Canis lupus familiaris: one gene and its partners. The protein of the gene in region 5 purifies or fractionates together with the protein of the main gene of each other region. This does not show direct contact. Links are inferred from orthologs where the notes say so. Each region holds a gene or a part of one and is shown on either strand. Other genes may lie near its edges.

The links.
Region 1: the proteins of POGZ (region 5) and CBX1 purify together in Homo sapiens (affinity purification with mass spectrometry; 7 studies listed by BioGRID and IntAct, with this or other methods). This does not show direct contact. The link is inferred for Canis lupus familiaris from reciprocal best matches to the Homo sapiens genes POGZ and CBX1.
Region 2: the proteins of POGZ (region 5) and CHAMP1 purify together in Homo sapiens (affinity purification with mass spectrometry; 4 studies listed by BioGRID and IntAct, with this or other methods). This does not show direct contact. The link is inferred for Canis lupus familiaris from reciprocal best matches to the Homo sapiens genes POGZ and CHAMP1.
Region 3: the proteins of POGZ (region 5) and CBX5 purify together in Homo sapiens (affinity purification with mass spectrometry; 5 studies listed by BioGRID and IntAct, with this or other methods). This does not show direct contact. The link is inferred for Canis lupus familiaris from reciprocal best matches to the Homo sapiens genes POGZ and CBX5.
Region 4: the proteins of POGZ (region 5) and ZNF428 purify together in Homo sapiens (affinity purification with mass spectrometry; 3 studies listed by BioGRID and IntAct, counting the BioPlex papers as one, with this or other methods). This does not show direct contact. The link is inferred for Canis lupus familiaris from reciprocal best matches to the Homo sapiens genes POGZ and ZNF428.

Annotation. Positions count from the first base shown.
Region 1 is NC_049230.1:24,317,566-24,323,096, reverse strand, and holds part of CBX1 (chromobox protein homolog 1), read left to right. Parts: intron 1-2,744; 5' UTR 2,745-2,781; coding exon 2,782-2,921; intron 2,922-3,406; coding exon 3,407-3,584; intron 3,585-4,373; coding exon 4,374-4,468; intron 4,469-5,531. UniProt on the Homo sapiens protein: Component of heterochromatin. Recognizes and binds histone H3 tails methylated at 'Lys-9', leading to epigenetic repression. Interaction with lamin B receptor (LBR) can contribute to the association of the heterochromatin with the inner nuclear membrane.
Region 2 is NC_049243.1:61,534,474-61,540,479, forward strand, and holds the start of CHAMP1 (chromosome alignment-maintaining phosphoprotein 1), read right to left. Parts: upstream 3,602-6,006; 5' UTR 3,480-3,601; intron 1-3,479. UniProt on the Homo sapiens protein: Required for proper alignment of chromosomes at metaphase and their accurate segregation during mitosis. Involved in the maintenance of spindle microtubules attachment to the kinetochore during sister chromatid biorientation.
Region 3 is NC_049248.1:45,617,133-45,622,663, reverse strand, and holds part of CBX5 (chromobox protein homolog 5), read left to right. Parts: intron 1-901; exon of another isoform or gene 902-1,051; intron 1,052-1,187; exon of another isoform or gene 1,188-1,292; intron 1,293-3,021; 5' UTR 3,022-3,063; coding exon 3,064-3,200; intron 3,201-3,885; exon of another isoform or gene 3,886-4,331; intron 4,332-5,531. UniProt on the Homo sapiens protein: Component of heterochromatin that recognizes and binds histone H3 tails methylated at 'Lys-9' (H3K9me), leading to epigenetic repression. In contrast, it is excluded from chromatin when 'Tyr-41' of histone H3 is phosphorylated (H3Y41ph).
Region 4 is NC_049222.1:112,228,804-112,235,041, forward strand, and holds the start of ZNF428 (zinc finger protein 428), read left to right. Parts: upstream 1-2,385; 5' UTR 2,386-2,750; intron 2,751-3,106; exon of another isoform or gene 3,107-3,244; intron 3,245-3,303; exon of another isoform or gene 3,304-3,480; intron 3,481-5,227; 5' UTR 5,228-5,356; coding exon 5,357-5,432; intron 5,433-6,238.
Region 5 is NC_049238.1:61,166,745-61,172,735, reverse strand, and holds the start of POGZ (pogo transposable element with ZNF domain), read left to right. Parts: upstream 1-2,080; 5' UTR 2,081-2,261; intron 2,262-4,561; 5' UTR 4,562-4,672; intron 4,673-5,991. UniProt on the Homo sapiens protein: Plays a role in mitotic cell cycle progression and is involved in kinetochore assembly and mitotic sister chromatid cohesion.

The DNA of each region.
Region 1 (5,531 bases), on a different chromosome or scaffold from region 5:
CAACTCATAGTGGAAAGAAGCAAGGGATAGCACTTCTTCTGGGGAGGAAACACAACTGCATTTATCCAAACAGAAAACTAAATTTTTCTTTCCTCATAAAATAACACTTGTCCTATGGCAGTCAGAATTCTGAAAACCTGAAAGCATCTCCTTCCAGAAAGAAGTACACACAGCCTCTGAAGCAGAGGTACGATGAAGCTAGCCAAGTATTAGCCAGGTTACATTCAATCTACTGATTAGTCTGTACAATAAAAGAAGAAAGGGGGGATCCCTGGGTGGCGTAGCGGTTTAGCGCCTGCCTTTGGCCCGGGGCGCGATCCTGGAGACCCGGGATCGAATCCCACATCGGGCTCCCGGTGCATGGAGCCTGCTTCTCCCTCTGCCTGTGTCTCTGCCTCTCTCTCTCTCTGTGTGTGACTATCATAAATAAATAAAATTAAAAAAAAAAAAAAGAAGAAAGGGAATTTTCTCTAAAAGAGGTTGAGAAGAAGGAAAGCAAAGCAGATTCTTAAGTATGTAAGTGGAGAGGAAGAGTGTTGAAAAAGATGCCTCTTATCTGAGAACAGATGAGTGTTCTGAACCCCTCTGTATACAGGGCCTTGGGTGTTGCCTTAGACCACACTAGGAGCACTCCAGAAAACATTGTTTTATGCCACTCTGTAAAAATTCAGAACAGCTTTAAGTGGAAGTGGTGTCTGCTTTTTTTCTTTTCAGACATTAAGCATCAGAAAGCCAGGAACCATTTCTTATTCTCTTGAATCTCCAGTATCCAGCAGTGTCTAGATTTTCTAGTAGTTAAGTAAATGTTTCAGTAAGTAAGCATTTCTCATATATGCAGACATGGGAATATCTCAGAGTGAAAAACCAAAGCTTCTGCGGATAATTTAACTGCTTCATAATGATGAATTCGACTTTTATGAAAATTTGTTATATTTTATATAGTCTATATATGGACTTAAATATTCTATCTGTACATGCCAGTTTTAAAGTATATTTAGAAGAGTTTCTATTTTAGGCTGAGTGAGACTCCCTTTCCCGAGGATGCTAGTATCCAGTTTAACCCCAAATCAGCATTGCCTTGAATTTCAGACGTAGTAACTACTTTCTTGGCTTAGATTATCTGCCATACCCTTAATTCTTTGTATGTCATTGTGGGCAATTGTGACCTACCAGTTTGTAGATTTTTGGCCAGTTTTAAAGCTCAATTTTGTTGTATTGATATCTTATGGCGCCACCTACTGACACAAATTGGTAAACAAATGGCTTCAAGTCTACCAGCAGTCAAGAGTTGTATTTGAAGGACTAAAAATAGATTAATAGGGGACTAGAATTTTAGCACTAGAAGTCACCCAGCCTGAAGATGTATTTTACAAAAGAATAAGCTCAGGTTCTATTATCTGTGATAACTATTTTTTTTGCCTGCCATTTTCCAAATTATTGCAGTGTCTTGAGTTTAGAGGATTTCATGATCATTCTGGCATTTTTACATTTTTTTTTAAGATTTTATTTTATTTATTCATGACAGACACACACACAGAGAGAGGCAGAGACACAGGGGGAGAAGCAGGCTTATGCAGGGAGCCTGACGTGGGACTCGATCCCTGGTCTCCAGGATCATACCCCAGGCTGAAGGCGGCACCAAACCGCTGAGCCATCGGGGCTGCCCATTCTGGCATTTTTGAGTATTTTCCTGCCTCAGAAATAAGCTAAGTAGAATAAGAAACTAATAAGAAACTTTGACATTTTAAACCATTGGTTCAGAAAAGACTGCAAAAAGAGCTTTGAGACTCAGGAAGAAGTGTTTAAGAATGTAAAGAAATGGGTTGTATTATATATGCAAATACAAAAGAAAAACCAGATGTTTGATAAATAGACAAGCTACCTCACACTAACATTTGAAGTCTAGTAATATGAAAGTATAGATCAGAGGATTATATGTATATAAATAAGTCTGATGTATGTACATTATTTTTAGGAGCCTTGCTTTCAATTTTATTTATTTAGTTAGTTATTTTTAAAGATTTTATTTATTCATGAGAGACACACGCACAGAGAGAGAGAGAGAGAGAGGGAGGCAGAGGGAGAAGCAGGCTCCATTGCAGGGAGCCCAACGCGGGACTCAACCCTGGGTCTCCAGGATCAGGCCCTGGGCTGAAGGAGGCACTAAACTGCTGAGCCACCCGGGCTGCCCCTATTTATTTATTTTAGGAGAGCATGAGCAGGAGATAAGGGCAGAGGGAGAGGGGGAGAGAAGGAAGGAAAGAAGGAGACTCCCCCACTGAAGGGAGAGCCTTGCACAGTGCTCGACCTCCTGACCCCAAGATTATAACCTGAGCAGAAACCAGGAGTCGGATGCTTAACTAACTGATCCACCCATGCCCCCCAATTTAATATTTTAGATACATGCTTTACAGTAAGAGGGGTATTGGGAACTTTTTAAACTTAGAATAGGTATAAAACTCTTAAGTGGAGATACAACAATAAAGAAGCTGAATAAAGTTTTGCGGTGAGATTGGCTGGGACTGTTTATGAACTTTCTAGCTTAATATATCAGAAAGCCTTATTTAAAAAAAAAAAAAAAAGAAAGCCTTATTTTATACTGCAGTTGTATAGGCAGAACAGCTAATACAAGCAGCATACACCATTAAAGTCAGAGCTGTCCCTGGATTTCTAACCATCCAAATATTCACCTAACCAAGAAAAATGTGCCCTAACGCCCTTTTTATTTTATTTTATCACTTTAGCAGCGTCACCCTTTAGACCAGAAAGCTGGCGGGCACTATGGGGAAGAAACAAAACAAGAAGAAAGTGGAGGAGGTGCTAGAAGAGGAGGAAGAGGAATATGTGGTGGAAAAAGTTCTTGACCGTCGAGTGGTAAAGGGCAAAGTGGAGTACCTCCTAAAGTGGAAGGGGTTCTCAGAGTAAGTTTCATTAACTTGGGTAAATCTATCTATTTAGTCACTGACTATTTCTCAGGAGTCTAGTAATGCGCAAGGCCTAGGGTGCTCTGATGGGTAGTATGACCCAGGCCTGGCCTTCATGGCTTAGAGTCTAATGAGGAAAACTGTCCACATGTACAAAGTGCTACAATGCCAGACAGTGATTTATGAGAAGCAGTTTTATGTGCAGCTTTAGACTGATTCAAGTTTGCAAAGAAAGTAATTTTCCTTTGAAGAAGGCAAGTTTCTAAGCTTTTAATTTACATTAAAAAGTCTGATGCCAACCCCCCTGCCCCAAGAAATCTCAGTGTTACCAAGGTTCTTGGTCTTGGACAAAATCTGGATACTCATTATCATTAACTCCTCTTTTCCAAGGACACCAGCTCTCGTCATCCTGTGCATCTCCTTAGTATGAGTGTGCTAACTTTTGAGTGGAAAGTGTGACTCACTGTGCCCTCTGGTTTCAGTGAGGATAACACGTGGGAGCCAGAAGAGAACCTGGATTGCCCTGATCTCATTGCCGAGTTTCTACAGTCACAGAAAACAGCACATGAGACAGATAAATCAGAGGGAGGCAAACGCAAAGCTGACTCTGATTCTGAAGATAAGGGAGAAGAGAGCAAACCAAAGAAGAAGAAAGAAGAGGTAAGGGGAGAACAAGTTTTACTAGCCCAGAATTCCTACTGCTGTCAAAGCTGAAAAGCCTTTTAATTTTTAAATTTAAGGAGTTTTATTCTGCTGCTTCTTGGGCCTCAGCACCCATCTCTCCTTCCTCTGGAATCTTAGGCTAATGCTTATAAAGTGTTTGGGGGTTCACTTTGCTGAAGCCATGTAATCTATACTTTATCCAAGTTTCTTTCCTTTTTTTTTTTTTTTTTTTTTAAGATTTTATTTATTTATTCATGAGGGACACACAGAGAGAGAGAGGCAGAGACACAGGCAGAGGGAGAAGCAGGATCCATGCAGGGAGCCTGATGTGGGACTCGATCCTGGGCCTCCAGGATCACACCCCGGGCCGAAGGCAGGCGCTAAACTGCCGAGCCACTCGGGCTGCCCTACTTTATCCAAGTTTCAAGAATAATAATGAGTGCAAATAAATTCATTCCTATAGATAGTTTTCAGTGTTGTAATCATTACAGGTGTTAGCTCTATATTTATTCAGTACCTTAAAGTAAGTTATCTTCTGAGGGTGAAGAAACTGTTGTGAAAATTTATTTTGCTTGAGATGTATGTCCCTTTTTACATATGGGGAAACCTCAAGACCTTGATGGAAGAATCACTCAGAAGGATGCATAAAGGCCTGTGACTTGGAGCCAAGGTATTGATGAAATACTGACAAGAATGTGATTATATTAATCAGAGGAGCAGGAGTGACTCTAGTCTGGATAACAGTCCCACATAATTAAATTTGTTGCATCCATCTGATTTTTACAGTCAGAAAAGCCACGAGGCTTTGCCCGGGGTTTGGAACCAGAGCGGATTATTGGAGCTACAGACTCCAGTGGAGAACTCATGTTCCTGATGAAATGGTGAGTCTGCTGGTGGCCCTGTGTGGTGGTTTTTTTCTTCTCCCCATCTGTTCCATGCCAGAGGAAAAGAGCTGGATCTTCGAAATTCCAGTCGCCCAAGTGTGAAATCTTTAAGATGGCATAGTCCTTCGATAGTGACCCTCGGCCTGACTGCCAGCCTGGACTCATGAGTTACAGGTAGGGGCCCTTAGGATTCTCAGATCTTTGCCCCATTTATTAGGAGGTGGGAGAAAATCCAGGATGGAGAAGGTACAGGGAAGGATCACATTTCACTTCTGTGAATGAAGGGGTTGGGAATGAAATGTGATTGAACCACCTTCCCCTTGTACAACCTCCTTAATAAAAATTGGGCTGGCCCCAGGATCAGAAGTTCTGTTAACTTCTCAGGGTTATTTAAGAATTTCTGTAGCTCTTCCTTTGTCTTTGATTGTTAGATCCTTTCCAATTTGTGCAGATTCTGTAATTCCAGGATCAGCCAGTAGGGGTCAGCAAGTCACCTTTACTGTACTGAGAGCATAGAGTAATAGGCTATTTTTTTCCATTAGAAGTATGAATACCAATGGTAGTAATACTCCACAAAACAGCTTAAGGAAAACAGTTGTCTTGAGAATGATAAGAACTTTAATTAACCCCAGATTCCCTAAAATATCCCTATTCTCTGCCAAAAGGAAGGCTTTCTTTTCTTTTTCTTGCTGGTTGAAAAATGTTTGTGCTTTTTTCCCCCCCCAGGTAGGTCTCAAATATTGTCCTTAAAATATAAATTAGGAGGGAATGATTCTAAGCCTTTACCAGTTAAGGCAGAATTTTAAGGATTTTGTCCTTTTGTCAGTCTAGAATCTTCTCTTAAATTCCTGTCTATACTAATTCCTCTTGCTTAGAAGGTGGTCAGAGAGGCCTGACTTTGACACTGCTGAAAGCTTATGTCACAATTAGGTGAAACTCTTGTTTTCTTATTTTGTGTTTCCTATGTTCACTGAATCTGACATTTTAGCTGCTTTACTGCTAGCCTATAGGAGAAAAGTTCATTTTTCATTTTTAAGGTGTGCATCTGGGGTGGTGGGGG
Region 2 (6,006 bases), on a different chromosome or scaffold from region 5:
AAGATGTGGTCTATGTATACAGTGGAATATTACTCAGCCATTAGAAACCACAAATACCCACCATTTGCTTCAATGTGGATGGAACTGGAGGGTATTATGCTGAGTGAAGTAAGTCAATCAGAGAAGGACAAACATTATATGTTCTCATTCATTTGGGGAATATAAATAATAGTGAAAGGGAATATAAGGGAAGGGAGAAGAAATGTGTGGGAAATATCAGAAAGGGAGACAGAACATAAAGACTCCTAACTCTGGGAAACGAACTAGGGGTGGTGGAAGGGGAGGAGGGCAGGGAGTGGGGGTTACTGGGTGGCGGGCATTGAGGGGGGCACTTGACAGGATGAGCACTGGGTGTTATTCTGTATGTTGGCAAATTGAACACCAATAAAAAATGAATTTATTATTACAAAAAAAATAAAGATTTTATTTATTTATTCATGAGAGACGGGGGGAGGGGGCAGCGGGGAGCAGACACAGGCAGAGGGAGAAGCAGGCTCCATACAGGGAGCCTGATGTGGAACTTGATCCCAGAACCCTGGGATCATGCCCTGGGGATAAAGGCAGGTGCTAAACCGCTGAGCCACCCTGGCGTCCCTGTCCTATCCTTTACGAAAAGTATCAGCTACCACCAAGAGCATTTAATGTGCTCTGTGCTAATAGTAATTACAGGGTCAAAATGTATTCCTTCCAGGTTACTGCTCCTCAAACTACAATACAGATTAGAGATACTTATTTATATTAAGAGGATCCCCTTTAATAATTTCAGAAACAATAACTTAAAAAACTGTACAGTATTTCTAATTTTGAGAACTTGTCTTGAAGATGTTATTGCCTACAACACTGTTTTCTATCACCTATATTACCGGTTTATTATTTGCATTTGGGGGTAGCAGTTTAAATATAAAAAGGTGACAAGACAGTTGAGGAAACAAACGAGTGCTTTTCAGAAAGTATTAGCTCCTTCAGGAGCTTCAGGAGCTGCAACTATCCTGGCTTTCAGAAAATTGTTTTTAGGGCTCTATGGGCTGACTAAAAAAAGAATATAATCACTGAATACTGAATAAAAAAAATCTCTGAAACTTGCAAACATAATGAAGATAACATGTAGAAAGAATGTGCAGGTTAACGATCCACCTAAAACCCAGTGTCTCATAAAAGTATAAGAATGTTATAAGAAAAGGCAGCGATTTCTCAATAACCGCATCTGGCCTAAACGGCCACAATCAACAGTCAAGGGATGTTCATAAGGGGGACATTACATATTAAAAACCATCATTATAGTATAATAAACCCTAAGTTGCATATATATGACACAGAGGTTAAGACCTCAGGCTTGTTGGGTTTGAGTGAGTCCTGGTTCCAGTATATGGCTTTTGTTAGGTTGCTGAACTTACGTTTCAGGTTCCTGGACGGATGTTAATATTTTGTAGCATATTTAGAACAGTATCTCATGGTGAACTGTCGGTGTCAGCTATGATTATTATACTAGAAACTACAAGGGCATCCTCTAACCAACAGTTCAGTTTCTGGTAAGTAAATATTGCCCAATGACCTTGCTAAAGTTATGGCTGACCAGCACGCAGTATCTCATCTGAAATATACTCAAGTCCTATTTATGACAGGAAGATAGACTTTGTACTTTCACAACTTGCGTTTCTTAAACTTAAACTGTTAACTATGAAACTTTTCCCATCTTCTCAAGAAACTAGTGTAGAGTGGGAGAAAGTATCTTACTCAGTACCTCTCTATTGTCTTTGCCTAATTTACAGTCCTATCAACAAAACAACTTTCATTTCCTGTATGTTAACTCATCAACTTTTTACCAATACTAGTTCATAAAATAGAGGTTATCAATAAGCCCAATAAGTGTATAATACAGGAATCAGATTATGAACTTTAAGAGTAAAGCATTTTGTTCTCTTCCTACAGAAATTACTGAGCACACTATTCTGTCATCAGAAAAGTTTTTAAAAAATGCTTCCATGGCATGCCTGGGTGGCTCAGTTGGTTAGGAGCCCGAGCCCACCTTTGGCTCAGGTTGTTATCCCAGTGTCCTGGGATGGAGCCCTATACCGGCTTCCTGCTCAGTGGGGAGTCTACTTCTCCCTCTGCCCTCCCCCCACTCATGCTCTCACTCTCTTGCTAATAAATAAATCTAAGGGAAAAAAATGTTTCTGGCAAACTTACCAAATGAAAAAGAAAATAAAACCACATCTCATAAATTGACATCTCTAACATTAGTGCAACAACTGGAGAACCACACCCCCTGTTCCCATTCCTATGAAAGAATTGTGGTTCCTTTCCTTTCTTTTTTTTTTTTTTAAAAAGATTTTATTTATTTATTCATGAGAGACACAGAGAGAGAGAGAGAGAGAGAGTGAGAGGCAGAGACACAGGCAGAGGAAGAAGCAGGCTCCATGCAAGGAGCCTGATGTGGGACTTGATCCCAGGACTCCAGGATCACATCCTGGGCCAAAGGCAGGCACTAAACCGCTGAGCCACCCAGGGATTCCCCTTGTGGTTGCTTTCTATAGGCAAAACTCTACCACTATTTCTGCTTACTTCTACTTTCCATTGGCTGTATCTCTGTTTCTTGCCTCTCTGGAAATTTTACACTAACCCTACATTTTATTGCTGCTTCTGTAAATTAGTTTATCTTTTTTTTTTTTTAAAGATGTATTTATTTATGAATGATAGACACACACACACACAAAGAGAGAGAGATAGAGAGAGAGAGAGAGAGAGGCAGAGACACAGGAGGAGGGAGAAGCAGGCTCTATGCCTGGAGCCCGACCTGGTCAAAGGCAGGCGCTAAACCGCTGAGCCACCCAGGGATCCCCAATTAGTTTATCTTTGATGAATACCACTTGCCCTAATTCCTGCTGCTTTTGCCTCCAAGTGGCCCCCAGCCACCTCAGCTTGGATTCCTTTTGTCCTTAACTGCTGCATGTTAAATCATCAGCTCTCTCACCCTCCATGGAGTGCCAATCAGTTCCTCACCGATCCTGCTCCCTCTCAATCTGTGTTAATTCCGATGGCTCCCTAGACTTGGGTGTTTCCCATCTCCCTCACCTGCCCCTCTCTATTTCTTCCTCTTCTTACCATCAACTCTTCTGGCCAGTCTCAAAGTGTCTATTTCCCAGCCTCATTATCAGACCCTAGTAACCCCTTACTCAAAAAAATTTTTTAAAGAATTGTTTAAAATTCACTTCTCAAACCCCAAACTCTGTCATATATATGCATACCTGTCACATCTTCATGCATCATTATGTATGCACATATGTGCTTTTGTAGATTTTCCTTAGGTGTAAGCACTTCTCAAAAATGTTCACATCTTAAACATACTCTCCTAATTGTTATAAAGCAAACAAAAACAATATGCAAAGTAAAGCTGGTAAAATAACACTATAAATCCAGGCCAATTCCCTTTAGAGCAGGGAAGAAATAAAGACCAACAATACTTTCTCTGGTAGACTTACCAGTTTATCTTCCTAGAAGCCTTGAAAGTATGTCTTCAAAGGGCAAGCAAGTCTACATGGCTTCTGAGTTAATTATAGAAAATAGTTTGTAGTACATGAAGAACAAAGATGATAAGATGGACCTGGAAAAAAAGAATAAAGGAACTGTAATCAAAACTACATTTCTGTGATAATCTATGCAAAAGAACTCTGCCTATTTCTCTTGCTGACCTGCTCCCTGCCAACAGTGACTGGGGTCAATCCACTTGCTTTAATGAAATAATACCAAAGATAACCATGGATACTACCAATGACACCACCCACATCTTATTCCATTTTAAAATCCAGGACCGAATCCTGAACCCTTGTCTATAACCACAGCAAATTCATCGTCTCACTTCAGCTGCCGAGACCACAGGATACAGGAGCAGCTGATGTTTTGTCCATTATCCACACTACACTGCAGAGCAGTAAAGTAACAGGTAGTGAGGAAGGGACAAGATTGTCCACAGGACCAAGGGGCAAAGAAGGAAGAGGCATCAGAGGATAAGGAAGGACAGTGGTGCTCCAGTGACTGCACAGCCTCTTCAAACATGGATTTCAGAGAATGTGTCAGGGTCCGGGTAAGCTGTTGACTTGAATAGCAAGAACAAAACTGGCCATGAACAAGCCAGGGGATAGTGCACAGCACACCACTCTACCCATGGTCAAGCTGTAATGTGGATAGCTGTGCTGTCTGTGCCTCTCTAGCCTTACTTCCTCGCCATCCAATCGCCATACTGTTTCCAGTCATCTTCCAAATACAACCTAATGCCATTGGCCTGCTCACAGTTCCTCAAAATATCCCCCAACACCTACAGAAGACAAAACCACGGTATATATAGCCCTTCACAATCTGTCTGTCCCCTGACTGGACTTCATTCCTTTAAATACAAACCTAGCCTCTGGACTTTCACACAGGCATTTCCTCTACTTTATACTCCCTGGCATGGTAAGTTTACACACTCGGCCATCGGGCAAGTTTCTCCATCCTTTAGGAAGAATTACTTCCTAAAAAACAATGGCCAACACCCTCCCCAACTCTCTTTGTGTGCACACCTTCCATGTAGGCATTACTCTCTTGCACTACAAGAGTCTGGCTCTCAGAGGGCCTGTTCACCCCTGTAACCCTTGCACATTCTTGGCACATGGTATATGCTCATAAAGTATCCGTTCGTTACCTCTAAACATCCCATCATGAAGACTAGAGACTTGATCTTAGATTCATAGGACTTTAAAACTAGAAGAGACCTGTGCTACCATCTAGTTTACAAATCATTGTGATTCAGAGCAGAAAGACCTCAGGGATCATCTACTTTGAAACTTCAATTTATGGCTGAGAAATTCAAACCTAGACATTAAGTAATTTGCTCAAGATGAAGCAAGTAATCAGCATCTCACAAAGGACGAGATTAAAGTTCTGTCATCTACCTAGGTTCTTTCTAATATATCTTGACTAAACTAATACACTAGAACCTAGAAGATCTTGACAAACTAGTGTAATGGACAAAATCAGTAATACGAATCGACAGAGAACTGCACTCCATCATCTACATCAGACAGAATGTCCCAGTGGATCACTGTCTCCAGCTCTGGGCAGGAAGGATGAGTTTAGAATACTAGGCAACATGCAAAAGAAAGCAACCAGGATGGCAGGCAGTCTTTAAAAACATGTCTTGGGCAGCCCAGGTGGCTCAGTGGTTTAGCGCTGCCTTCAGCCCAGGGCCTGATCCTGGAGACCCGGGATGGAGTCCCGCGTCCGGCTCCCGGCACCCGGCATGGAGCCTGCTTCTCCCTCTGCCTGTGTCTCTGCCTTTCTCTCTCTCTCTCTCTCTCTGTGTGTGTTTCCCATGAATAAATAAAATCTTAAAAAAAAAACACACACAAAAAAACATGTCTTTTCTGAGTACGGAAACTGACTAATTTCAAGTGGAAGAATTATGGGTAATATGTAAGGTATCCTAGAAGCAACAAGTGGAAGCCAGCAGGAAAACAGATTCCAGCTTAAGAAAAAGTTTTACAAACTACTCAATCATGGACTAGAATGAGTTGCATTCCCAGGTAAGAGCCCTCCATAACCGCAAGCCAATGGTCAGTATAGGACTGAAAGGATCCTCAGATGACTTGAGTCTAAACTCTCCACTTTAGAATCGAGAAAACTGATGCTGATGGAGAAAAGTGCTTGGGATCACAACAGTTAGGAAGGTCAGAGGATGCCTGATCCTGGACCTTTGCTGAAATACCATGACGTCTTTCCCATCAGCATGCTGCAGAATTCAGCTCCTGGGTAGACGCTGGACACTGAGATTCCTTCCAGCTTTAAGATTCTAGCCATTTCCCACCCTAAATTTCAGAGCTCCTAAGCCTGACTATGAAAGTAACTCTACAGTGTCCACACTAACAAGTTTCTCTCATCCTACTTCCTGCCTCTACAGACTACATGCTGTTCCTAAGAGAGGTTCTAAGTAGGTTTGCCAGTCCACCACATCACACCTATCTCCTATCCAAC
Region 3 (5,531 bases), on a different chromosome or scaffold from region 5:
TCCCTTTTTCTTACTCTCCTGTGGCAGCAACCTCTGGCTCTAAAGACCTGAACTGTAAAGCAGAAGGCTCTAGAGCTCTTGAAAATGTTCTTTAGGGTCAAGAGAGAAGAAACTTTATGGGACTGCAGGTCTCTAAGTAGCTCTTTTTCTTTATCTCTATCATCCTTTATTTCAGGTATTAGGGATTATTGATACGGAGTTTTAAATTATTATATCTTAATGCTTCAGGTGGGTAGTAGTTATTTGAAAATTTGTTTCATAATGTTACAGTCACAATTAATGAAAAGTGGTTTTAACTCAGTAACAGTTGTGGCTGAACTGTTCTCCCCTCTTTTTTTAAGAACTACATAAGGATTACATTTTTTTTCCTACCTGTTAATTTCGGTGGATAGGTTCTTTAATAGTGCTTCAAGTGTCTGGATTGTGTTTCTGTATCTAGTAATCCCTCAAAGAAGGAAAGTTGTATAGTATCCTGAAATACTTCCCTTCCCCCCCTTTCCTGCTATCCCCTCATCCCCCAAGCAATTTTAATTAACTGTTCAGTGACAGATGGCAAAAAAGGCCTTATTTAAAGTGCTTCTGGTGGGCTGGGTTAGGGGTGAGTGGTTTGTACTGATCCTGTTGTAGAAGGGCCTAGCTTTTCCCCTCCCCCTTCTAGTTGAGCTATAATCCTGTTAGATGATCTTAAAATGCTATTGATTAATTCCCAGTGCTCTTAGAGGAATAAGCACAGGTTTTGGGTTTAAAACGCAAGAACCAATTCCCTTGAGCTCTGAATGCCTTTGCTTTGAGACCAAGGGAGTACCTTCCAACTTCTCCACCCAGTCTTCACTGAAAAGGAAAGTTAAGCCTTTTAACTTTTCCGTTTGCCTCTCCCCCCCCTTAGTCTAGTACTGCTGCCAGTTGCCATGGCAACGGGCTGGGACAGCTGCGCAGTGGCTCCCAGGCAGCTGGGTGGGGGCGGGGGAGCTGCCAGCCCGCCAAGCCCCAGACCTGGGAGGGGAGGCCCCTCCTGTTAGCCCAGAGGGAAAGAAAGAACTGGGGCGATCCGGTAGGTAAAGGAGGGAACCCCCATTCATCTTCTACCTTTGGGGTTCCTCTTCTGCATGAAGGTATAAAGGGAGATTTTCTTCTTTCCTCCCTCAAACTGAAGAACACATATGTAAATCCTTGTTTTTCCTCGTGAGGCAGGGGAGGCCATAGCCACAATGCTTAACTGCATGCATCTAACCCGGGGCTGGTTTTAACCCCAGCGCTCTGACCTAAACAGCTCAGCTCCCGGAAATTCCAAGGTGAGTGGGGGTGGGGGTGGGGTACTCTCCCTGGAATATGACATTTCCTGTCTCTAGTGAGGTTAGAGGCTGTTTTTATTTTAAATAAATAAGATTTTTTTTTTTTTCTTGAAGCTTAGGACTCTCTTCTAAATTCATGGAAAAAATATTTTGAAACTCCTGTCTACATTCTCCCCCTCCGTCCCCTTTTCCAAGTAAAGTACTTTAATAAAAACTTAAGTTTTTTTTACAGGGCAGTAGTGGATACAGACAGTATTTTGGGTGGGCAGACCTATTGCTAGTAGGTTCTAGAGATATGGTTTCCAACTAGATGTTCTTGGAATAATTCCTTAAATTTTGCTAACTTGAAGTAAATTGATAAATGCAACTTTTTATGTTACTTGACTTGAACACAGTTCTGAGATTAGTAGTGGTGGCCTTTCCTGTTCCTGGGAGTCGTCTTCTAGTCAGGATGGAAATATTTTTAGAGAGTGCTGAAAAAAATCCTTTAAGCTTACAGAAAAATAAAAATGGAGTTCAGCTAAGAAAACAATTCCTGCTACTCTATATTCCAGACTGTAGGCACCATTTAACATGGTTAAAGAAGAATTCTTAAAAATGATTATGGAGACGACAATGTGGGAATTTAAAAAAACTAGATTCTGCGTTGAGTACCCCCTGGTTGTGCATATTTCTGAGCTTAACTCAATTTCCATTTGTGTTGCCTTGCTTCAGCTTTCCTTGGGCCTATGAATGGTTCCTCTGTGCTTTGAGGCTTCATGTTGATGTGAGTTTGGGGCCAGACTTCTTTCTTTTTCCTCCTCTTCTTCCTTTGGCCCAAAGTCAACTCCAGTTAAGAGAGGTACCTCCTCAACTATTTGGATTAGTTGAGCCATGAGAATTACTGAACAATCCAGTAACTAATTTTTATTTTTTGGACTAAAATTTTTTTTCTCTCTCTGCCTCTCTCCCATCCCCAAGTGAAAAAGGTGGCTTAGTGTATCTGAGATGCCAGCCTTGCTTTTGTGAACTGATGGGTGCTCTGTAGGGACAAGCTCAGTTTGTTTAAGGGAGAGAGAGATATACCAAGTCCCTGAAGACAGTGGTAAAAGATACCTGAGCTTGCTAAGAGACTAGACAAGATTCTCTGGGCTGAGGTTACATTTTGGAGCTTTTTTTTTTTTTTTTTTAAGATTTTATTTATTTATTTGGGAGGGAACATAAGAGAAGCAGGGGGAGGGGCAGTCTACCTGCTGTGCAAGGAGCCTGACTACAAGAAGTCCTGGGATCATGACCTGAGCTGAAACCAACTGAGCCATCCAGGTGCCCCTCTTTTTTCGTTTTTATGAAGAACCTTATTCACTTCATAGGGAAAGGTTTTAATTCTATCACTGTTATTTTAACTAATAGTTTTCTGCATTTATTTGAGCTCCTGGCTTGTAAAACAGTTATAGAAGTACTCAGGAGTAATATACCACACCACTTGTCTTTGGAATCTGAAATTAGAGAAGTTACACAGTTGTGTCTATAATAATGATGTTGGCCTTGTGAGCTGATAAGAAAGTTGTGGTTGGGAAAGTGGTGATTGACCCATTTTTTGCTTATATTCTTAGGACTCCTCTAGAATGCATCAAGACCCAAGAGAAGGGTACATGGCAACTTTGTGTTATACCCCCTGCGTTCCATCAAGAAGAGACAAAGTTTTAACTTCTTGCATGGATTCTGACCATACTGTCCTTCCTATTTGCAGGAACCCGGTGGCCTTAGTCCTTCAGGTGGAACAGCTTGCGACATGGGAAAGAAAACCAAGCGGACAGCTGACAGTTCTTCTTCAGAGGATGAGGAGGAGTATGTCGTGGAGAAGGTGCTAGACAGGCGTGTAGTTAAGGGGCAAGTGGAATATCTACTGAAGTGGAAAGGCTTTTCTGAGTAAGTGCTTCTTTTAGGCCTTAGGACTCTGTAGAGGTGGACACCTTTTTTCCTTCCCCATGAGCCACTGCCGTCTTTGTCTTTTTCCCTCCTCACTTGCACTCCTCCTGAGAGTTTGAAGACGTAGCAATAAATTAAAGAGTCTCCTCTCCCTTGGAGCTGGTGTTTTAATGATAACGCTTTTGAGAGAGAGTATAATGAATTGGCTAGGTGCATAGACATGGAGCCAGATTGCCTAGGTCCAGATTTTGTTCCACCACTTGTGAGCTGGGTGACTTTGGTTTAGTTCCTTAATCTTTTTCCTCCTCAAAAAAACAGGAATAGGAAATGGTACTTGTCATAGGGATGTTGGGTATATGTAGAGCCTGACAGGTAAGCTTAATGTTAAGTATAAACTGTTACTGGAGCACCTGGCTGGCTCAGTCAGTATAGCATGTGACTCTTGATGTCCGGGTTGTGAGTTGGAGACCCACATTGGGTGGAGATTACTTAAAAACAAAATCTTTAAAAGCATAAACTTTTACTGTTAATATTCTTTTGCATATAACTAAGCTAAAATTGTATACATTTAAGCAGAAGTTGTTTATTCCATAGCCTATACCTCTCTAAAATGATCTTTGGATCTTACAAGTGACCTAGGATGAAGGACTCATCTTAATGAGAAACTTAAATCTGAGGCCACATTTTTTCCCCCTAGTATTTATTTTTTTAAGTTCAAATCTACAGCCGAGACAAAAGAAATTGAGTAAACACTGAGATACACACCACCTAGTTTCTGCAATCAACACTAAGATATTCTAGCTTTTTGTTTTTGTATTTGAAAACCTCAGAAACCCTTTTTTTAAAAGTCAGCTTTAAGAATGATACTGAGTATTGACTAGAATGTCTCTTAGGAAGTAACTGGCTTTATGCTGAAGTGCTAGAGGTGATTATTCTTTTTCCTTGGAGTAAATAGAACTAGACACATTGAAGCACAGAAGAGGTAATTTGAAAGGTGAAATCTGTGTAATCATTAGACATTTTGCCTCAATTTCTGATTAATTATCTTCCCAGGATGCCTGATAACAAAGAATGGATTTTCTAGAATCCTAGTGCAGTGGTAGAAACTGTTGTAGGCTTCTTGGAGTGGCTCTGCAATAGAAATATAATGCAAAGCATGTCTATAATTCTACATTTTTGTTGGCCACATTAAAGAAAAGTGAAATTAATTTTAATTTATCTAACACAGTATATCAAAGTGCTGTTTTAACATTAACCAATATAAAATTAAGATATCTTACTTTTTTTAATATCTTAAAAATCTCATGTATATTTTACATTTTATAGCACATCTCAGTTCATAGTAGTCACATTTCAAGTGTTCAGAAGCCACACAATATGTTAACATATTGAATATCACAGCTTTAAAGTATAGGACTTATTAAATGTAGTAAAAGGTTCAAGTGTTGATAGTACCTTTGGACAAAGGTCTGAATCAGGAGCCTTTGGAACATAAAGTTCTTTCATTACGGAAATCAACATTTCTCATTTGGAGCACTTTTGACATTTTAGATGGGATAGTCCATGCACTATAGGATGCTTAGCATCTCTAGCACACAGTGCTAAATATGGGTAGCACAGCAATCAGAATATGCCCTTTATATTCCAAAGAGGAATCGTATCACGGCATTCTTTAGAGATGAGAAATTACGAGTTTGAGAGACCTAGAAATAAGAATTTAAAATAACACCAAAAGGTTTTAAGGATGTTTATTGGGCCCATTGAATTACCATTGGAAGTTGTTGGTCATTTTGAAGGTACTTAGGACTATATCTGTATTTGAGTTACAGTAACTGGTAACTTACATTGATTAAAGAGGGAAAGAAAGTTTGGGGCAGATGAATTAAAAGCACTTGTCCTTACTTTCTCGGAAATGCCCGGGAATTCATTACAGACTGGAACAAATTTTGCCCCATTAGCATTGTCTGTAACTAAGTACCTGCTGATTGCTAGGCAGTGATCAGATTCTTCTACCTCATGTATTCTCTTTAATTCTCATAACAGCCTTTAGAGGTATTTTGAATGTACAGATGAGGAGGTTTAACAAAGCTATTTGCTGAAGATAGCATAACTGGTAAGTGCTGGCACAAGGATCTAGTATCAGATTACTTTGGCCCTAATTCCCAGGCTCTTTTAAAATTATACCATGCTATCTTTTGGGTAAAAATGGATTGATGTAAAAGCAGCCATACCAATATGGTAGGAAAAGAGATAATCCCATTATAGTACTGGCTTTCCTTATCATTTGAGACCCCGCCCTCCCAATGTCTGCTTGCTGCTTGCTTGCTTGTG
Region 4 (6,238 bases), on a different chromosome or scaffold from region 5:
CAGGCCCTCCAGGGAGAGGGAAAGGAGTTTGGGGGGGTGCGTTGGTCTCTATGGTTTTTATATATAATATATTAAAAAAAAATTAAAAATCTGTATGAAAATATCAGATTGCACCCCCCTCCCCTCTTTCCTGGCTTTTGCCCCCTTTTTCTTGTAAAAAAAAACAAAACAAAACAAACACATTTTGTACAGGGAGGGGAACGGGGAGGGGGTTTGGCAATCCCACTAACCACCATTAAACTGAGGAGAGAACAAGTGTCTGGGGTGGCTGTGTGTCTGTCCCTCTGCCCAGAGCTGCACCATGTTGGGAGGGGAACTGAACCAAAGGAGGGAGGAGGGAGAGGAGTAAGATGGCTGCTTGTGGATGGTACAAGCCAGGAGAGGGCCCTTCCCTTTTCAAGGGCACCTCCACCCTTCTAAGAAATATGCTTTTTTTCCTGGCCACTTCAGGTGCCAAAAGTCACTGAGTCTTGTCTCTTCAGTACCCACTGAGCTACCCCGTCCCCAGCCAATGGCCCGAATCCTTCCCCTGGTTTACCCCTATCCCTGACATCAATCTCCAAAGGATCTTGCAATTAACTCACATCGCACCATTATAACACCTGCCCCTGCTCTGCTCAAAACCTTTCCCTAGCTCCCCATCACCTCTAGGTCAAGTCAAACCACCTTAGCCTGGCATTTCCTGCTCCTCATTCAGTCAACTAAATTTTAGGTGAGTGATTCTAATTTTAGACTAAAACATATATTGACCTCTTTGTGCCAGGTGCTGCTCCAAGATCTGGAGATGCCATAGTGAATAAAACAGGCAAATATTAGGTGTTCTAGATGCCTTAGCACTAACCTGAAACTTGATCCTGTTCTAGGCACTGAGGACCCAAAGAAAAAGGAGGGTGACTCCATTCTTACCCTCACGCAGAGCTTCCATGAGGAAAACGACTGCAGCAAGGAAGAAAAAAAAAAAAAAAAAATTTCAGATTGCCATAGGTGCCCTTAAGATAAAATGCAGAGTAAGGGGATATGGAGTATTATTAACTTATCATGGAAAACTTTGAACACAGAAGTAAACAGAACAGGACAATGAAGTCCCATGCACCCTTCACCCCAGCTTCCACAACCATCAATTTGTGGCCAGTCCTGCTTTATCCACAACCACACTCACTTCTCTACAGCAAATCTGGAGGTACCATCTTTGAAAGATCAAGGAGAACCTGGCTGATTGACACCTGTGCCAAGATATGAATGATGAGCATAAGATCAGCTATTCAAAGATCAGCGGGAAAAGCATTTTCAGGCAAAGGGAACAGCAAGGGCAAAGGCCTGACGTGGTAAAGAGATTGCAGAGTTTGAGGGGAAGTGGAGCTAGACTAGAGTGGATAAAGAGAGATGAGTGAAATCAGAGACAAGAAGGGGGAGATCATGTGTATAGCTTCACAGCCATGATAGAGTTTGAGTTTTTTTCTAAGTGTAATGAGAGCTCATTGGAGAGTTCTGTGCTGGAATCTGAGTCAATTTCCGGGAAGCCCAGAACCCTGCAAAAGTTTTCTATATCGTCAGCATCAGCGTAGTCTGGCTCCTCACCTATAGGAGCCCCTTCCCCTCTCTTTTTAAATATTTTTTAAAATTTATTCATGAGACACAGAGAAAGAGGCAGAGACATAGAGGGAGAAGCAGGCTCCATGCAGGGGGCCCAATGTGGGACTCAACACAGGCACCCCGGGGAACCCTCTCAATTCTGTTTCAGACATACTATCGCTTTCTCAATCAAACCATGCACTACTTTTTGCCTGGAGGCTTCTACCCTTGCTGTTCCCTCTGCCAGAAAAACTCCTATCCTGGTTGGCTTCTATTCATCCTTGGCTTAAAGATTACCACCTCTTGGAAGCCTTTCCAAGCTGGGGTACGCACCTCCTCTGGCTCCCACAGTTTCCTATACTCCACTCATCCCAAGTCTGAACACTGGGTTGTGGTTCTGACTTTGTATGGCTCCCCTTCCTTTGATTGGGGTGCCATGAGGGGCCAGGTTTGTCTCCATACTGCGGAAACCACAGTGCTCACCTGCACAGGGCTTGGCACAGGAGAGAGCAGTAAATATTTATGCTGGGGGTAGAGGAGGGCTTGTGAGGGTTTGGTAAGTGTCTTGGCCCTTGTGCCCCCTCTCCGGATGCAAACTGATGCCAACTAAAACAAGGCCACCCACTCCGCGCTAGTCCGCAATCCGTGAGCGCATGCGCTTTGTTCAGGAGCGCCCCCAGCCGCCCCCCCACCCCATATGCTAATCACAGCGTTCTGGAGTACGGCCTCTCCGGGGAATATGCAAATTGCCCCTTCACCGCCGTAGGGCTCCTATTGTCCCTCACTAAGATTATGCAAATAAGCAAGCCTCAGGTCCAGGATCCCGGCCTAGCTGGCGGCCCCCAGCCCCCAGCTCATTCCGTTTTCTAGAAGGCGCGTTGCCGCTCGCTCACGCACGCGCAAGCCTTGCAGTTTCTGGTTCCGTCTAGCTGCGGACTGTACCAAGTAAACCCGGACAGCGAGGGGCAAAGCCCGGAACCCCCTGCGCGGGCCTCGTCGATGGCCCGACTCACGGAGCCCCTCTTCCCACCGAGCGATGGGAATGGTCCATCTCGCCGCGCAAGCGCCCTAGGCTCCTCTCGCCGCTTTGCACTCCCTCCTCCCCGACTTGCAGCGCAGGCGCAGAGCCCAGGCGTGCAGCCGCCGCCGCCGAGCCAGAGCGGGGGCCGCTAGCGCCGGTGAGTGTCCGGGATAGGGGTGCGCGGGGCATGCTGGGAAGCGGGCACTACGGCACCGCTGCATGATGGGAATGACGGCTCCCGACACCGGGGCGAGCAGGCAGCCGTCTTGGCCCGCGACGGCCGGAGGGCGAGACCCGGGCTCCCTTTTCTCCCCCCAGCGCGGCTCCGTGCCGTCCTGGGGCATCCTGGGGGAACGGGACGCTCCGCCCTAAGGCATTGTGGGAGCCGGTCTGCTGGTCGTTATGGGCCTAGTGCATTCTGGGAAGGATTATAGCTCCTTGTGGGGAACGAGTCCCTTTTGTCACACACCTTCCGCTGAGCGTCGCGGAAGCCTGGCGTGCTTCGACGCCGAACGCCTCGGAAGGTGGTCGCTATAGGCCCGAGGCATCCTGGGAAGAGTTGCCGCAGGGCATTGTGGGGACTGGTCCTTATCGTCCTGTGTGAGGGTTTGCTCTGCCCCCTTGCCCCAGCCTTGTGGGAGCGCGTGCCTAGTATGTTCACGCAGGGCATCTTGGGAGTTCGGTGCTGTAGGTTCAGGATGTAGTAGGGCCTTGGCGGGTTTTTTTCCTTGTGATGGTGAGGGAGCCTCATTTGTGCCCCTTTAGAATTCTGGAAGCCAGTATGGCCACCGTAGTTGTAGGAATGGGACCAGCGCATCAAAGAATGTCTCCACTTGACATCTGGAAAACTCTGGAAGGCCCTTGTGTAATGTGGGTTTGGGGGGAAGGTAGGCTGGACTGGTAAGCAATGTCTCCTGGTAATCTCTTGGGAAACCCTGATTGTAGCGTGTGGTTGCCAGGTAACATAGAACGTCCAGTTAAATGTGAATTTCAGATAAATAACCTTTTAGAAACGTGTATCCCAAATATTACATGGGACCTATGTATATTAAGTAATTTCCTGCTTATCTGAAATTCGAATTTAACCAGGCATGGTCTGTTTTTATTTACTGAATTTGGCAAATTTATCCTGGCATAAAGTAGAATTCCCAAATTAGATGGGACCCAACAAGTAGTATGATATCATGACAATTCTCCTCTGCAGATTATGAATCTCCCATCCTTAAAGCCCAGATCCAGGTGTCCTTAGAAAACTCCCCTGCTTGCTACCAGCCCTCCCATGCCCCAGTCTCCTCCAGGCTTCACTTTTTTTTTTTCTCTTTTTCTCTATCTTTAGCCCCCAGCATTAAACTTGACTTCCAGGCTTTGAAGAGATTGTGTATTTTCCACCATTGTATACCCAGTACCCAGCACAGGTCTTGGTATAAAAAGGTGTAGCTAAAATAAAAAAAAAAAAAGTGTAGCTGAGGCTGCCAGCCCTTTCACTAACTTACTCTTCCTGGCTTTCTACTGCCAGTGAGTGCAATGGGAGACAAAAGAACTGTGTGTGTGTGTGTGTATGTGTGTATGTGTGCGTGTGTGTGTGTGCGCAGCACATGGATGTATTGGTGAAGAAGGATAGGAGAGAAAGGAACCCCTTCTGGGAAGGGGTAGAGATGGTATTTGGGCTTTGAGGTGGGCTTTGGAGAGTGCATAGGAGTTCACCAGGCAGACTAGGGGAAAGAAGGACATTCTAGACAGCAATAGCAGGATTTGCTAAGACCCACAGATATGAAAAGTCCTGGTGTCCCCAGGGAGAGATGAGAAGTCTGTAATGGCTGGGGGTTTATAGGAATGGTTACAGGTGGAAGTATTAGCAGCCACTGTTACTGGAGTACCTGCCACATACCAGCAGTTTATACTGAATGAGCCTAATGAATCTTCAAAAAGTTTTTTCAGTCAGGGGATCGTTTTATGAGAGGTAGGATAACATCAAATCCTAGTTGGTATGACTTGAACTACTTGCTAATCACCTCTGTGTCTCAATTTCCTCGTGTACAAAGGAGATGATAATCTCTCAACATAGTTATAAGGACTACTTGAGTTAAGCTCTGGAAGCCTTTTTGTACTGAGAAGGATACAGGCTAGAGAAGTTAAGTCCTTTGCTTGAAGCTACACAGCTAGACTGGCAGATTAGGGTTCAGACCTAGACTCTATCTTGCCAAGGTGTAGAACTAGGGCTGACACCAACCAGTGCTGTCATACACTTGTTTAAATATTGAAGTAATTTTAGACGGATTGGTGTGTCACCACTACCTCAAGTAATTCCCTACCTTCCATCTGCCACTTTGGACCCTCCCCCAGCTCTAGACTTTCTCACAAACCGGCAACTAAAGTGTTTTAATTCCTGGCATAGGACCATGTTCCCTTCGGTTCTGACTGGTACCCACACTGGTACCTGCTGCTAAATTTTTGGAATATTACCTTCCCCGCTCCACTGACAGCTTTGTTGCCCAGATGGGGGAATTAAGATCTATAGAAGCAGGGGCTGTCTTTTCCTTTCCCCCAGCACTGAGCACACAGCTGGGCCTGGGGAGGCAGATGCTAATGTAAAAATTTATTGAGTCACCACAGGCCTTTCCTTCCCCTGCTCAGCATCCCGCTCTACTTGCCGACGTCCTGCACTGGAGAACTTGTGACCAAGGTGTGGCTGTGAAGAGCTGGCCGGGGAGGGACTCTGCCTAGCTGCTCCTCTGCTCCTGTCTCCTGTCCCCTCCCCTGGCCATGACAGAGACCCGTGAGCCCACTGAGACTGGGGGCTATGCCAGCTTGGAAGAAGATGATGAGGACCTCTCTCCAGGTGAGGCAGCCTTAGAGATGGTGGCATTACCTTGATTATCATCCTGGCTTGGAATTGGGGCTCCACTGAGCAATCTAGATGGGGAGTGGTCCCTTGTCTCCCTAGGTGTTCCATTCTGACTGGGACTGTGTTCTCTGCTAGTGGAATCCTTCTGGCTGAGACTTCTGGGCATTGTAGATTGGCTAGGATTGTTCTCCTTATCAGGGGATCGAGATCGGCTGTGGCGTCTCTCCTTGCTGTATGTTCTAGATCGGCTGTGGCCTTTCTCCTTGCTGGGGTTTCGGGATTGGCTGTGGTCTCTGTCCTTGCTGGGGGTTCGAGATTGGCTGTGGTCTCTGTCCTTGCTGGGGGTTCGAGATCGCCTGTGGTCTCTCTCCTCTTGGGGGATTCTGGATCGGCTGTGATCTGTTTCTTTTCTGAAGGTTCTGGATTGGTTGTGAGCTCTCTTTTTTCTGAAGGGACTATGATCTCTCTCTTTTCTGTGGGTTCCAGATTGGCTGTGATAGCTTTCCTTGCTGGAAGTTCTAGATCGGCTGTAATCTCTTTCTTCGCTGGAGGTTTCAGAAAGGCTATAACTTCTCTCCTTGCTAGGGGTTCTAGATCGGCTGTGACCTCTCTCCTTGCTGGGGGTTCTAGATGGTCTATGACCCCTCTCCTTGCTGGGTGTACTAGATCGTCTGTGATCTCTCTCCTTGCTGTGACTTCTTTCCTGTCTGGGGGTTCTAGATTGGTTATCATTTTTTCCCTTGCTGTGGGTTCTAGATCGGCTGTGTCTTCTCATCTGACTAGGAGTTCCTTTCCGGGTA
Region 5 (5,991 bases):
CGCTGAGCCACCCAGGTGTCCCTATACTTTTTTTTTTGAAAAATGTTTTAAGAATTTATTTATTTATTCATAAGACACACACACACACACACACACACACACACACACACACAGACATAGGCAGAGGAAGAAGCAGGCTCTATGCAGAGAGCCCGATGTGGGACTCGATCCCAGGACTTGATCCCGGTACTTCAGGATCAAGCCCTGGGCCGAAGGCAGGCGCTTAAACCACTGAGCTATCCAGGGATCCCCAACTGTTGTTGTTCTAGGCCACTAAGTTTTGGGGCCATTTGTTATCCAAGAATAGATATTGGAACAATTTGTTTATGTAGATATTTCATGTCTCTCCCCACTAGAGTACAAGTTTCATGAGTTCAGGAATTTTGCTTTCTTTTTTGTTGTACTCACCTAGTACACGACCTGAGGCACCTAGACCCGCACCTGCATATTGCAAAGTACTCAATAAAAATGTGTTAAAAAAGTGAATGGATGCATGATGCATTTTCAGTATGGTATGCTAATGGTTATTGGTCAACAGTGCATGGTACAGTCTGCTGGACTAGACCTCATTGGCAGAGAGCATAAGTTGGCACTTTCAGCATGGGAAAATACATTTCAACAAGAATATTTCAGAGGCAAATAACTTTATAATGAATTATAATTATAGTAGGAAAGTATAAAATAGGATTTGAGCTTCTTGTAGAATTTGTCTTCTGGTGATTGATTCCATAATCCCATCTTAGGCTTTTCTAGATCAGGTCTGGAAAGGCTTCAGAAGTATTTTTGGAAGGATTGGTGATTTTTTTTTCAATCCAAATAATAAAGTTCTTGCTAAAAATGACACTTTGAGATCATTCACATGTACTTAGTATGAAATGAGATGAAGTGGAATGAAAATGGACGGCATTGTGTACACACAGGTGCATGAGGGAGCAATTTGTAATGCCTAATTCCATCGCCTATTTTCAGTCTGGTGGTTGAATAAAGTGCACATATATAAAAAAATGAATAAATATGGTTCTGATTCTCCCCAATCTTGCACAAAGTACTTTGATCTACATTGGCTTGGAGTAAATATTTGTGTATTGCTTAGAGAGCAACAACATACTCACATATCCAAGGAAAATTTTACAATATTATCATCTCTGAAAGTAAAAAAAGGACTAAATTTCTTAGATACCTGGAAAAGAGGTACTTCTTGTTCGGGGAAAAATTACAGGTGGCTGGTCTTGAATAGACTCCTTTCTTTGAGCCAATCCCCCTCAGCCTTGATCGGAGCAAAAAGCACAGATGTAGAATCTATGGTTTCTTAGAATTGAGGATTTGTGCCGAGTCTATTGACAAACGGCTTCAAAGCAGTTTCCATACATGAGTCACTTTGATAAGCAATATATGTGATTTATTTCCAGAATCCAGTAGGGTTCAGAGTAAAAATAGCTTTTAAAAGTTCTTCACTTAAGACTACTGCCACAAGGCTACTTGGCCAAATGCCTCCTGATGAAGAGTATGTGCCATTCTGCTGCCTTTGTTCCAAGGACAGTTGTTGGTGCCATTGGGTCTCACCACCTGGCCTGTGGCATGAGGTTCTCCTCTTGGTTAGGTACAAGACTTGAGTGGAAAGTGAGGAGGTGCCCAAAATTTCTTTGGAAAGTCCAGGCAAGTGAATTGGGCACTATTTTCCTTGGAAATTCCATTTTCCTCATCAAGATTTAGCTGTTGCTTCTGAAGCTAATTATTCTTATTTCATTTTTCTTAAATGTTTTTTATTTATTTATTTATTTATTTATTTATTTATTTGCAGGTCCAGACAAACTTGACTGGAAAAGAAGCCCGGGCAGGGGTTAGGATGAGCCCATGACGTGTCCCACGCCGCAGCCAATTGCGAGGCCACGAGAGGGGGAGGGCGGAAGTGACGAGACGTATCCCTCCGCGGAGCGAGAGGGTCGGTGGGGGGAGTCGGCGTCTCTCTCCCCCGCGCCAGCTCCCGTACACGGAGCCGCATTCCTTGGCCCCCCCACCCCCTCCCTCGGGGCCCCCCCGCCCCCCTCGGGAAAAAAATCCACCCCAAGTCACTGGAACCCGAGGGAGGTTTCCTTTCCCCCGCGGGGAGACGCGCTCTCCACGGTTCCCTCTCAGCCGTCTCCCCAAGCCCCCGTCCCCTCCCCTGCTCCCACCCCCTTCTCCCGGCGCCGGGTGCGAGGTCCCTTTAAGGCGACGGCGCCTTCCTCGGGTCAGACTACCGGCGGCGACGACCACGGGAGGTGAGTAAGCGAGCGGGCGAGCCTTCTTTCTCCCCACCCCCTTCTCCCGGGGGTTCCGTTATCTTTTCGCTCGGCGAGGCGCTCGGAGGCGAGACAATGAGAGGGGGATGGGGCGGGGGCGCGGGGGGTGGGGGCAGGGGCCCGGTGGCGCGCGCCCCTGCTCCCCGCGAGTGCAGCGCGGCCCGGGCGGCGGCGGCGGGCATGGGGCGCGGCTCGCGAGCGCGTGCGCCCCCGGAGCCGCGGGAGCTCGGGAGCCGCGCGACGGTCTGGGCCGGGCGGACCCTGCCTGCCTGCCTGCCTGCCTGCCGCCCGCCCCCGCCCCCCGGCGTCCTCCGCGGCGCGCGCGCGCGCACTCGCGCCCCACGGCCCCGCACACACCGACGTCCACACGCACGCCGGGCGCGAGGCGTCTCGGAGGAGTGGGCGGGCGGCGGGCGGTGGCCCGCGGGGAGGGGGAGGGGGAGGGGGAGGGGGCGGGCGGCTGCGAGTCGGCGGGCGGGGGGCGAGGCCGCGCCGAGGTGACGTCCCGGGGGGAGCGCTCGCTTCTCCCGCCGCGCCCTCCCGCCTCCCTAGGACTGGGGCGCTGTTCGGGCGCGAGGAGGAAAATGAGGGGTCGCTGTGCCGCTCCCTTGTGTTACGTAATCGCCGCTCGGTCCACTAGTACCTCCCAAGCCGTAGTGCGCTGCAGTTAGTTTACCAAGTCTCCTCCCTTGGCCCTAAAATTTCTCTGCGTTGGCGCCGTGATTTGTAAAATGGAATGGGGCGGAAAACCTTTCTTTCGGCTGATTATATCCTGCCGCGGTGGGCGCCATGTTCCTCCCGGGGACTATTTTGTCTAGATTCTCAGCACCTCCTGGGGAGGACTGATGTCGTTGATCCACCTGCCTCCCCTCCTTTCTGCCACTGACCCTGTTTTCCTCTCCCGCCAGACGCGGGATTCCTCCACGCTGTTCCTAACTGTGGACATAGCTCAGCTCACTTGTCTTGGGCCTTCTTTAGCCCAGAAAAAGAGATGGGAAGAGGCTTGGAAGTCAGTTGGCCCCATCTCCTCTCTGAGATGCACACGGGAAGACAATTTTACCATCTCAGAACCACCACCTTGTTGCGGGTTGTAGCTCAGCCTTCTACATTCTAGACACCTCCCACTGCAGTTCAAAACCCTGCAGAAATGGAGTTTTACTTTCAAAGGAGTTTCCCCATCTAGTTGGAGGGGAAAGAGCGGGGCAGAGAGGGCTGCTCCTTGGTGAACAACATTGAATTTCCAGACCATGATGTGTTGTTCTTGGGACCGGGAGTTGGACTCTGAATTCGAACTCGTTCTCTAGATCTTTAAGTTCGGGATAGCTAAAAAGTACCTTGGAGGTTGCTGAAAGTGCTGTGTTAGGGGCTTCGTCCTCAAGTCTTTTCAGGTGGGAAGGGGAGGGTGTGTGTGGTGCTATCTTCTCTAAATTTTAACCGCCACATAAAGAACTGTTGATTTAGCGTAAAAGTGCTCAAAATACAATCTTAAAACAATTTCATGGCAAATTACGTCCTTGATTTCCTTCCCCTTATACTACGGTTATGACACACCGGTCACGTTGGTGATGTATCTCAAACTAAAGGAACTAAGAAGATGAAGACTCTTGGGATGAACAGGATTTTGTTCGTTTCCACCCCAACCTTGAACCAGTGATATAATCTTGGAAAAGGTGACCCACTGACCTCTGGGGATCATTCAGAGCCTTCCAGGGGACCTGAGAGGTCATAACTATTTTCAAAGTAGAAAATACTAAGACACTATTTATCTTTCTTCCAGTGACATTTGCACTGATGGTCCAAAAAGCAAAGCTGAGTAAAACTGGTGGTCCGTTAGCACAAAGCAAGGCAGTTACACGAAACACCGTGTGAAAATGGCCTTGATGAAACAGTAGAAATGATTTTTGTTAAATCTCAACCCTTGGGTACATGGTTTTTTTAAGTTTTAAGAATCTTTGATCGAATAGGAAGGATGCATAAAGTACTTTGCTGACTAAGGAGGTACGGTCCTTCTCATAAGGAAAAGCGCTTGTGAGATTGAGTTATGAGCTGCTTGTTTCATGGAACAGCATTTTCACTTGAAAGAACTGACAAACTACAGTTTTTCACACTTTAAGGTTGCGCTTATATTTTCTTGACAACGAGGCGAGCATGTTATTTTGAGGAAACAATTGACAGTATTTGTTACCAATGATAAAAATTTGAGAGTGAAAATTAGAATTTGTCAAAAGTTGACATCTCAGGTTTAACAGTTTAAATATTTTCTATATTTATATTTGTAGTGAAATATGTCAACATTTGGAGGATGGGCATCGCAGTAAATCTATATTTTCCAAGCAACCAATGCTGATATTTCACAATCATCATAAGTAAATATCCTTTCAGAATGCAAGGTACACTAGTGGATTTTAATGTAATAAAATATGAAAAGTTCATTGATAGGGATTCAGATTCCAAGATGCAACTCTTCTTTAAGAAACTACCATTTGGGGACGCCTGGGTGGCTCAGTGGTTGAGCATCTGCCTTTGGCTCAGGGCATGATCCCAGTTTAAGGATCGAGTCCCACATCGAGATCCCTGTGAGGAGCTTGCTTCTCCCTCTATGTCTCTACCTCTCTCTGTGTCTCCCATGAATAAATAAAAAAACCTTAAAAAAAAAAAAAGAAACTACCATTTGTCGAGTTTTAGTATTGTGTCAATATACACAGCTGTCTGAAAAGGTTTTTGAATACTTTTCCTTTTTCCTGCTGTGAGGCCAGATAGTCTACAGCAACAGACTGAATGCATAAACACTATGAGAATCCAGCTGCTTTCTATTAAGCTAGACCTTAAATTTAGGCAAAAATGTAAAAAAAAAAAAAAAAAGGTTACTCTTTTTGGGAAAAATAGTAATTTTTAATTGAAAGTGTTATTTATGTCAGCTTGATGCCTCATTGTTAATTGTATTGATAAATACTTTTTTTTTTAAAATTTATTTATGATAGTCACACAGAGAGAGAGAGAGAGAGAGGCAGAGACACAGGCAGAGGGAGAAGCAGGCTCCATGCACCGGGAGCCCGACATGGGATTCGATCCCGGGTCTCCAGGATCGCACCCTGGGCCAAAGGCAGGCGCCAAACTGCTGCGCCACCCAGGGATCTCTTGATAAATACTTTTGTTTTAGTGTCTAATATGGTAAATATCAAAAGATGTAATCCATATAAATAAAAACTCTCTGAGTTCCTCAGTAATTTTAAGAATGTAAAGGGTTCTCAAGACCAAAAAATTTGAATAAATAAAAATTAAAAAATAAAAAAAAAAAAAAAAAAAGGGATCCCTGGGTGGCGCAGCGGTTTGGCGCCTGCCTTTGGCCCAGGGCGCGATCCTGGAGACCCGGGATCGAATCCCACGTCGGGCTCCCGGTGCATGGAGCCTGCTTCTCCCTCTGCCTGTGTCTCTGCCTCTCTCTCTCTCTCTGTGACTATCATAAATAAATAAAAATTAAAAAATAAAAAAAAAAAAAAAAAAAAAAAAAAAAAAAGACCAAAAAATTTGGGAATGACTTGGTGTGTCCTATGCGTCTACTTTTGAGATCATCCTAATCTGCTTCCATTTAGGAACCTCTGAAGAATTTACAAAATGTTAGTTGAAGTTAATAATGGAAGAGGCAGTGGCTTGGGGAAGAATTCTAGAGAAAAAGGTTGATTTGAATCTTGGCTCTGGATTACAGTTC